2 linked regions of the Schizosaccharomyces pombe genome follow. The protein of the gene in region 2 interacts with the protein of the main gene of each other region in a biochemical or structural test. Each region holds a gene or a part of one and is shown on either strand. Other genes may lie near its edges. The genes, in order: apm1 and rho3.

Region 1 (4,496 bases), on a different chromosome or scaffold from region 2:
CACGTTGTTCCTTTCCCTACTAGTCAAGCACAGGCAGCGTTCCTCGCGCGAGTTTGGTCTGGTCGCCTCAAATTACCCAGCAAAGAAGAGCAGCTGAAATGGCAAGACGAATTAATGTTTTCGCTGAGTGGAGCAAATAATATGTATCACTCTTTGGATTATCCAAAAGACGCTACCTACATTAACAAGCTACACGACTGGTGTAAACAGGCTACACCTGTTCTTGAAGAAGAGTTTCCGTCACCGTATTGGGGCGAGAAGGAACGAAGCATCCGTGAAAACATGTGGTCCATCCGTGCTAAGTTTTTCGGAATTGAACCTCCAAAGTAAATACGTACTTGAAAACTCATTACACCCTTAGACCTTTAAACTTTTCCCTTCAATCTTTTTCTTACTATCCGGTCTCCCTCTCATTCTCTCGCTTTTGGTTTTTAATTTATTATGTTTAGAAAACCGTTTGGAACAATCTGTCTTTTATGTATTTTTAATACACGGAGATTCACTACTGAGTAAATGGAATTGTATGTTAGAAAATCTTTATTTCTGTTTTAATAAAAACATTGAACTTATCCTTTATACAATAAATAGACTTAGACATTTATGTTTCAAGCAAATGCTCCTTTTATGTCAGCTGAGTAAGAAAAAGGATTAGCGCGTCTGCAAACAAGATTTCATTTCGTAATAAATGGGATCAGTACACTAAGAAAACAAATATATAGATGAAGGGAAAGGTATCTAAAGGTAGAAAAAAGAACGGAACGGAGAACCATCATTAGAAACATTTACTGACGGATGGAATATTCAGTACCATTTTGTGTAACATATCGAACCCAAGGCATAGCATGATAATTAAGTTTTGGTTCGGTGATTTTTAAATAACGAACTTGGATCCCTGAGGTAGTGAAATAGGGAATAGCAAATTTTAGTTGAACAGGACGTTTTTTCTGAACTTGAATATCTTCATTTTTAACACTTGGTAAACCCATTTCAGCACGCATGAAAAATTCTTTACCACCTGCAAATTTCTTAATGTTCCAAACCATGGCAGCTTGTTCAGGTGCATATTGCACATGACCATTGCTAGTTTGAAACCGAGGACTGTCAGCATCTTCCGGAACGGGAATGATGATTTGGACATTATTTGCAATACAACGCTTTTTGAATTGAGCCTTAGCTTTTACCATAAACTCAATTCTCGAACCTGAATGCACGATGGATTCACATTCAACCCAAATTAATGGCCGTACCTAACGAGAAATTAATATTAGAAAACGTTGATAAAGGAGAGAGGGAATAAAAAGAACAGGCACAAACTAATAACTTACATTTGAACTCATGCGATAGGACATTAAATCAAATTCGCCATCAGGAGGAATGAACGAAATTGTACGATCGTTTTCAAATCGAGCAAGACGAACACATTGGTGAAATTTCACATCTTCCATTTCCACAGTGTTTCCTTTAATGGTACGACCAGCCGCTTCGAAAAGGACCTTGTCATTGAGCCCAAGACGAAGTTCAGGCATTCCTGATAAGTAGCATTTGAGACGAACTTTTCCTAAGATTTCACTTTGAATGACCGTACCATCGGCAGCAGCAATTAAATTAACTGATTCAATAACGTCCAAAAATACTTCATTCTTACGATAGTGAATTCCTTCAGAACGCCAGGAGATAGCATTTGTCATAGCAATGGGGGGTGGAGCATGCTTTTTTACCGTATTTGAGGTTTGAGTGATGTATTCTTGCAAGATTTTTGTTTCAGTTGTTTGTGGAAAACCGAAATCCATGATCTCGTCTAACAATTCATAAACAAGAACAAAGTTATCTCGAATCGACTCTTCCTGCAATTCTTTAAAGTAATCTATAAAAACGTCCGCCATTTTACGCAAAAATACTAGCATCTCCATTGCATCGGAATTCATTTTGGATAAAGCAAGGAGGTAGACATCATTATGGTGAATGTAAATGTACTGAAAAGTGTTAGTACGACCATAAAAAAATAAGAATTGTTGGCTTTCATAATATCTAACTTTTACATACGTTAATGCCTTCGTGAGTGAGACAAGGGGTGGAGAATCCTTGTTCTTCTTCAACTTCTGATTTTAAAGGTAAAAACTTTTCAACTACTGACATGGGGATATCAGCTCTAATTGTTTTCTGTTAGTAACCTGTCGACGAATTGCGACAATCTGATTTTCATTCAGATTTCAAAATTGCCTACCGGTAATCACGGGAAATGATTACCTTTCCCTTTAAATTCAGAACGAATATAGCAGAAGCCATTTTTACAGAAGCCGCGAATAAGGCAGCTAGTTTCGCTCTGGATAACTAGCATTGACTGTTGGCTGCCTCATCACCGTGCCTAAGCACCGCTAGTGTAATACAGCGTAATTCACTATTTCTGTTTCTTACATATAGTACGAAATTCTTCTTATATTGAGTAATTACTACTCTATGCACACATTCAGTCTTCTTTTATAAGATAATCTATTCAGATAATTATAACTAATTTACATTATATGGTTTTGTAAATGCCGAAAAGGAAAATAATTTTTCTGACAATGTAAGAAAATTTCGGTATGTTTTATTTGACAACTTTGGCTTATAACAATAAGAATAACAAATATTTTAATAAAATTTGATCTCAAACATTGTAAATATTAAAAGCCACAAATCCCAAGAAAGTGCAACGAAAAAAGTTGTTAACTTTCACCAATGATAAAACCAAAGTGAACATCGTGGCTTTTTAAAAAGACACAGATTTTTTTCTAAAATAAAAAGGATAGAGAAATAACAACGTAAAGATTCCAAAAGTGTGTAAAAAATCAATATATACCTCGTAACCTTAAAATACCCAAATAAATTCCCAATAAATACATAACCTATACGCGTCTTTAAACAAGTCGAATACGCTTTTCATGAGCCCTTCGCTGTCTTTTTACGGCATCTTTTCTTTTTCGTTTGTAATCACGAGTTAAGAATAGACGATTTTCCGACCACCAGGATTCAAGAGCTTCTCTGCTCGTATAATCTTCATTACCTGGTTGGAATAGGGAAGAAGGATTGGGTAGAGTAAACATTTTTGGCCAACCCTTGGTACCCGATGAGGCTTTAACTATAGCTAGCGGAGTTTCCCCATCTGCCTCTTCTTCCATAGTTTCGTAATTACGGTCATCAATCTCACTTTCCATTTCACTTTCCTCACCAACTCCATTTTCATTGCCAAAAAGAGAAAACTTAGACGTATCCTGCGCATTGGAAGAAAACATTTCTTTTAAATTGTCAACGTTAACAACAGCAGTACGCTCATCAAATGCTTCAAATTCAGCAGGAACATCTATGTGTACGGACTCTTCCTTTTGTAAATTATCTTGTTCATCCAAACCTTCTTTTTGGAAATTATTAGTCGAATCATTGTCCAGTTCCAAAACACCTGAAGTTTTAGATACGGTATCAATTTCTTCTGTATTTTCAGAACCAAACAGTTCAGCTAACACAGATGCAGCCGTATCCTTATCTTTTTTTCGCAAAGCATCCAATTGCTCTTCGTTTAATTCTTTTGTGACTTCAATCTCCCCAGTTGTGTTATTAAGAAGTTCAAAATCGTTATCATCCTTCTGAGTAGAAGCTTTGATACCCAATTTTGCTTGCATACGTATTTTGTCACGAGAAGCTCTCTTACCCCCATATGATACATACTCATCATGATCAGAATCATAAAAAGCTGTAGTATTGTCCATATTCGTTTCCACTCGGCCCCATAGTTTTTGTAAGCAGTTTTTACCCAGCGGATAAAAAAACCTCGTTTTCTTAGTATTTTTATTATACATTCGAAGCACGACAATGGCCCTTCCATAGGGGCCTTTTTTCCAACCTTTTCTAGGAGGATCCTTCCGAACATCAGAATCCGTGACCACCTGCATATTTTTACTATGTTTTCCGGGAACAATTATTTCTCCATGAAAGACTGGGTCTTCCAGATCAACTTTGCTGGAGTGATCTTCATTTTTCTCATCATTATTAGTACTTTGAAGATCAGCAATTTTTTTTTCCTGCTGCAATTTTACTAAATAATAAGGGCGAGCTTCCTCTATACGAAGTTTACTTCCTTTAAACGTCGCATTTGATAAGTAAGACTTGCATTTCTGCCATTTATCTTCATCTGTTCGAAAATTCAAGTATGCAAATCGTTGTATAGTTCCTACTGGAGTAGATTTGTTTATAATTTCAAGATTTGAAACACTTCCAAAACGAGAAAATCTGGATTCCAAATCTGAAGATTCAATAGAGGATGAAAGGCCACCAACATAAATCCGTTTTTCTAACTCCATTATTGAAGTCAATTGATACAAAATGAGGACAAAAAGTTTCGCAGGTCAAAAAGAGTGTCTGAAATATAATGGGAAATAAACCCGAAAAAATAGTCTACCAATCGCTACCAGATAGCTATTTAGATGAGGAATCGAGAGCTGTGTGAGCAATGAAATTTTTTA
Region 2 (3,980 bases):
GTCCATATCCGACTAACAATTTCATAAGCTTTCTCAAATTTTGGAACACCCAGCAAGAGACAGACTTCGTCGTATAGCGTTGGTACGAAAAGATCGTGCTGAAGGTAAGTGTGATTTCATTTTCTGCGGCGGATAATAATTTAATATCTGTTTACGAATAATGTAAACATGTGTCTAATTTGTGTAGCTGTTGAAGAGCTCCTGTTACGTATGGCCAAAACGGGCCAGATATCTCATAAAATCTCAGAGCCCGAACTTATCGAATTGTTAGAAAAAATTTCTGGTGAGGTCTCCAAACGTAATGAAACAAAAATTGTGGTAAGTGCCTTACTAATTCCTTCTCTCCTTTTTTATTTCAAATTCATCTGAGGAGAGAAATATCAAAAAAAAACATCTGTTTATATTACATGGTCCAGAGTTTAACTGTTTAATTAGATCAATCGACGTGTTCAAGACGATGAGGATGACTGGGATCTTTAATTTAAAGGATAAAGACATAATAAATTTTGTTTTACTTTCAAATGGATCAAATTGAATTAGGGTTGCACGGATGCACGAATACAACATATTGGGTAGTCTAAATTTTTACAATTTTTAACTTCAATTACGATATTTAGGGGTAACACTTCATATTACATAAATATTTAAGGTGCTTTCTAAAACGGTAGGATTTGACTCAGACCCATGTCTTACAACCGAAAGACTAATCCTTATTGCTCAACAGTATGCTTATCGTAAAAGAAAAGGGGTAGATTAATTGATTAGATTAGCAACTCAACGATTACACGAACAGAAGGAGAATTGAACAACTCAAAGTGTACAAGTTTCAAAAAAGAAGGAAAGTAAGGTTCACTGCAAACACTCTTTTTCACGATTGTACAAATACCTGCTGTTTCAAGTAGGAAGGTAAGAAAGATAGACAATACACCTGAAATAAGGAGATAAACTCATTGGAAACGGACAGAATCCCCAAGTGTCAAATTTAAAACCTTGAGAACAGCAAAGGGGATAAAAGTCAAAAGTACAAACCATTGAAAAAAGGTTAACGCTATTCAAAGGCCACCGCAACACCCACACTAACGTCATATACAATAATAAACTTCGAACATTAGAAATAAGACTTTTAGGCGCTTTCAAAAGAAAGTGCTTTCAAGCAATGATACATCCGGTACCATGGGATTCATCAGCACCATCCTTTGTACCTCTTGGTTGCGCGGCAAGGGCAACGCGTGCAGCTTCCGTGAAAGCTTCATTTACGCCACGATTTAATTTAGCGCTGCATTCTAAATATCGTACAGCGTTGATTTTTTTTGCCGCTGCCAGTCCTTCCTCGTAATCAATAATTTTACTGTGATCAACTTGCTCCTCATCAGCTCCACGTAAATCACATTTTAGAGCAACAAGAACCAATTTAACACCAGGGCAATTACTAGAGACTTCCGGAAGCCATTTTGTGATTACATTTTCTAATGAGTCTCGTGAATCCACGGCAAAGCAGATCATAATAACATGTGTATCTGAATATGATAACGAACGCAGTTGATCATACTCTTCTTGACCAGCTGTATCCCATAGAGACAGTTCTATACTGTTTCCATCGACAAAGATATCATGAATGTAGTTTTCAAATCTATTTTTAGGTGTTAGATAACGGAAAAAGTTTTTAAGTACAAGAAGATAATCATGTAAAGAAGTGGTGAAAACCCTTAACAGGTCAAGCATAGTAAAAGCAATTTGACGTTTGGTCATGAGAAATTGTACGAGTGTGACTGTATGGAGAGCACACTCGGGCATTCTCGTTTTCCTCAGAAATGAAACAAATTTCCACAAATTAACCCGTTAGATAAAAGGTTTGCAAAAAAAGATGCTTCATATTGAGTTATACTTGATATTGCAGACGGTAACCTCATTTCCGCTCCGCCGTTTACAGCTTTGCACTATTAATGATACTTACATAGTAGGCTCGTATACCTGAGGGAAATAACCCTTAGTAAATACATTTAACAAACTGGTTTTACCAGCAGCACCTATAATTTACGGTTAGAATGCTTAGCTGCGAAAATCACGAAAGAAAAAACAAAATTTTCACCAAGATCCTTACCATCACCAAGAATTACGATTTTCCGATAAATAGGCTTCTTTTTACTTCCGAAACAGCTTGACATACTTTCAATGAGCTTCAATCAAGCTTTCTATGGGTTTTTCAATGGTTTCTGTATAATAAAGGATTAGAGGTGTTTGGTTTAGGTACGAATTTTGTACCATGAGCTAAAGCCTACGCAAGACCCCAGCTTACTGCTTAGCGAAGGACATACATGTCCTTGTGCGCTGTAGATTGGCTTCTACATTTCAGGTAACAATCAAATTTAGAATAATTAAGGCGATGCGAACCAGTTTATTAAAAGAGATACGGAAATACGTAATACAGAATGAACTTCGCAAGTAGGATTGTTTCATAATATATTTTGATGAGTAAAGCATTAATTCATTGATGAACAAAACCTTCGAAGGATAGTTTTACTAAAATATATTGGGGAAGTCTACTCTCAGTCTCAAAATGAAATACACGGTATATATAACGTGATTGCTAAATAGGAAGAAAATCAACAGCACCAGTTAGTGAAAGTTGACCAAGGGCTTGTCAATTTTGAGGCAACCCTTTCAATTGAAAGTTTAAAATTTAATTGAAAATCGTACTTTGATGAGTTTGAAAAAGGAGTCACACAATAGTACAACCAACTTTACCGTGGTTTGTTTCATGATAATAGTTTAATTTGCACAGCAACTGTTGGAATCATGAATTGAATAGCACCTTTAAAAGAAGAAAATTTTGTTTGACATTTGAATATGCTTTTAAACTTTTTGTGCCGCTTTATGGCTACTTTCCATTATGTCGTAAAGTGTTTTTGCCGAGTCATTCAGAGCATCTGTATAATGTTGAGTTAAAACAAGCCATTCGGCTACAAAAGAAAGCATCTGTAATTCCATCTGTTTTCTATGATAACCCAATTGGAATTGGAAAAACCATTCTTGAGAAGAATCGCAAATTTGAAACTCCTTCGCTACCTTTAACGTTGTTTCAAACGCCTCGCACAATTTGCTGTAAACCATCATACAGAATTTGAGCATTTGTTCAATTTGCTTTGCTAGTGACATAAATACCATCTTTACTGTGTTCGAGGTTGACACAGACGTTTTTTTCATAAGTGATTGATTTTTGTACAACCTTCTTTTTGCGCGCAATAATAGTCTACTACGTTCACTGATAAATACCATCTCTTGAGTTACATAATTATACATTTCTTCTGCGTAGCTTTTTGCATTTTTTGAAGATACGCTAATTTTCGTCAAATTAACTGTTACGTCCCCAAAGCTGGGATTATCATCACTCAAGCTTTTCATATAAGTCTTCCATTCCATTGGAGAATCAATTAGAAAACTGGACACCTGATTCTCCATTTTCTGTATTGTGAGGTTAAAATGTGAAGGGATCAATACACGTTTTCTCGTTTAGGTGCGCTGGTAACAACAAAAAAGTAACAAACAAAAGGAAAGTCAGCAAAACACATAATAAACCAACATGTAAAAAAGTGTTAGTGCAATTGCTTATGCCCTCAAATTTGTAATTGAGTGTTTATAAAGTTCATTTCCTTATGTGAATATTCGTATTATCAGTTATGACTCGTTGCTCTGCTTGCGACTTAAGTTTGCTACCATGCGTTTTTCTTACAACAATTCAGAGATTATTTTCATGATGATTGCTACCGGGTTGCATGAATTAACAACTTAGTTCAATTGTTTTGCTTTTACGATCAGTTTACCCTCTCTCATATTGCGGCGATAATCTGATATTTCAGAGAATTTTAGTTTTTCAAATTGCGAAAAAAAAAATTTTTCAACCAACTTGTATTTCATTGCTAGTGGTTTATTTCATTGATTGGTGAATGTGGTTTAAAGGGAAACTGAACGTTAATAGATCA

The links.
Region 1: the proteins of rho3 (region 2) and apm1 form a complex in vitro, tested with the Schizosaccharomyces pombe proteins (one study listed by BioGRID).

Annotation. Positions count from the first base shown.
Region 1 is NC_003423.3:1,907,970-1,912,465, reverse strand, and holds apm1 (AP-1 adaptor complex mu subunit Apm1), read right to left. Parts: upstream 2,326-4,496; 5' UTR 2,287-2,325; coding exon 2,225-2,286; exon of another isoform or gene 2,150-2,224; coding exon 2,044-2,149; exon of another isoform or gene 1,974-2,043; coding exon 1,326-1,973; intron 1,248-1,325; coding exon 783-1,247; 3' UTR 651-782; downstream 1-650. Other genes in the region: fmo1 (flavin dependent monooxygenase), read left to right, coding at 1-330; ribosome biogenesis protein Nop8, read right to left, coding at 2,898-4,334. UniProt on the Schizosaccharomyces pombe protein: Component of the adaptor complexes which link clathrin to receptors in coated vesicles. Clathrin-associated protein complexes are believed to interact with the cytoplasmic tails of membrane proteins, leading to their selection and concentration.
Region 2 is NC_003424.3:1,039,720-1,043,699, reverse strand, and holds rho3 (Rho family GTPase Rho3), read right to left. Parts: upstream 2,252-3,980; 5' UTR 2,166-2,251; coding exon 2,102-2,165; intron 2,028-2,101; coding exon 1,955-2,027; intron 1,721-1,954; exon of another isoform or gene 1,631-1,720; coding exon 1,150-1,630; 3' UTR 617-1,149; downstream 1-616. Other genes in the region: SPOM_SPAC23C4.09C (chaperonin-containing T-complex associated protein), read left to right, coding at 29-104, 188-318, 436-480; karyogamy protein Tht2, read right to left, coding at 2,854-3,459. UniProt on the Schizosaccharomyces pombe protein: Involved in controlling cell shape and septation. Regulates cell separation by modulating the function of the exocyst complex. Involved in post-Golgi vesicle transport. Involved in driving sexual development in a palmitoylation-dependent manner.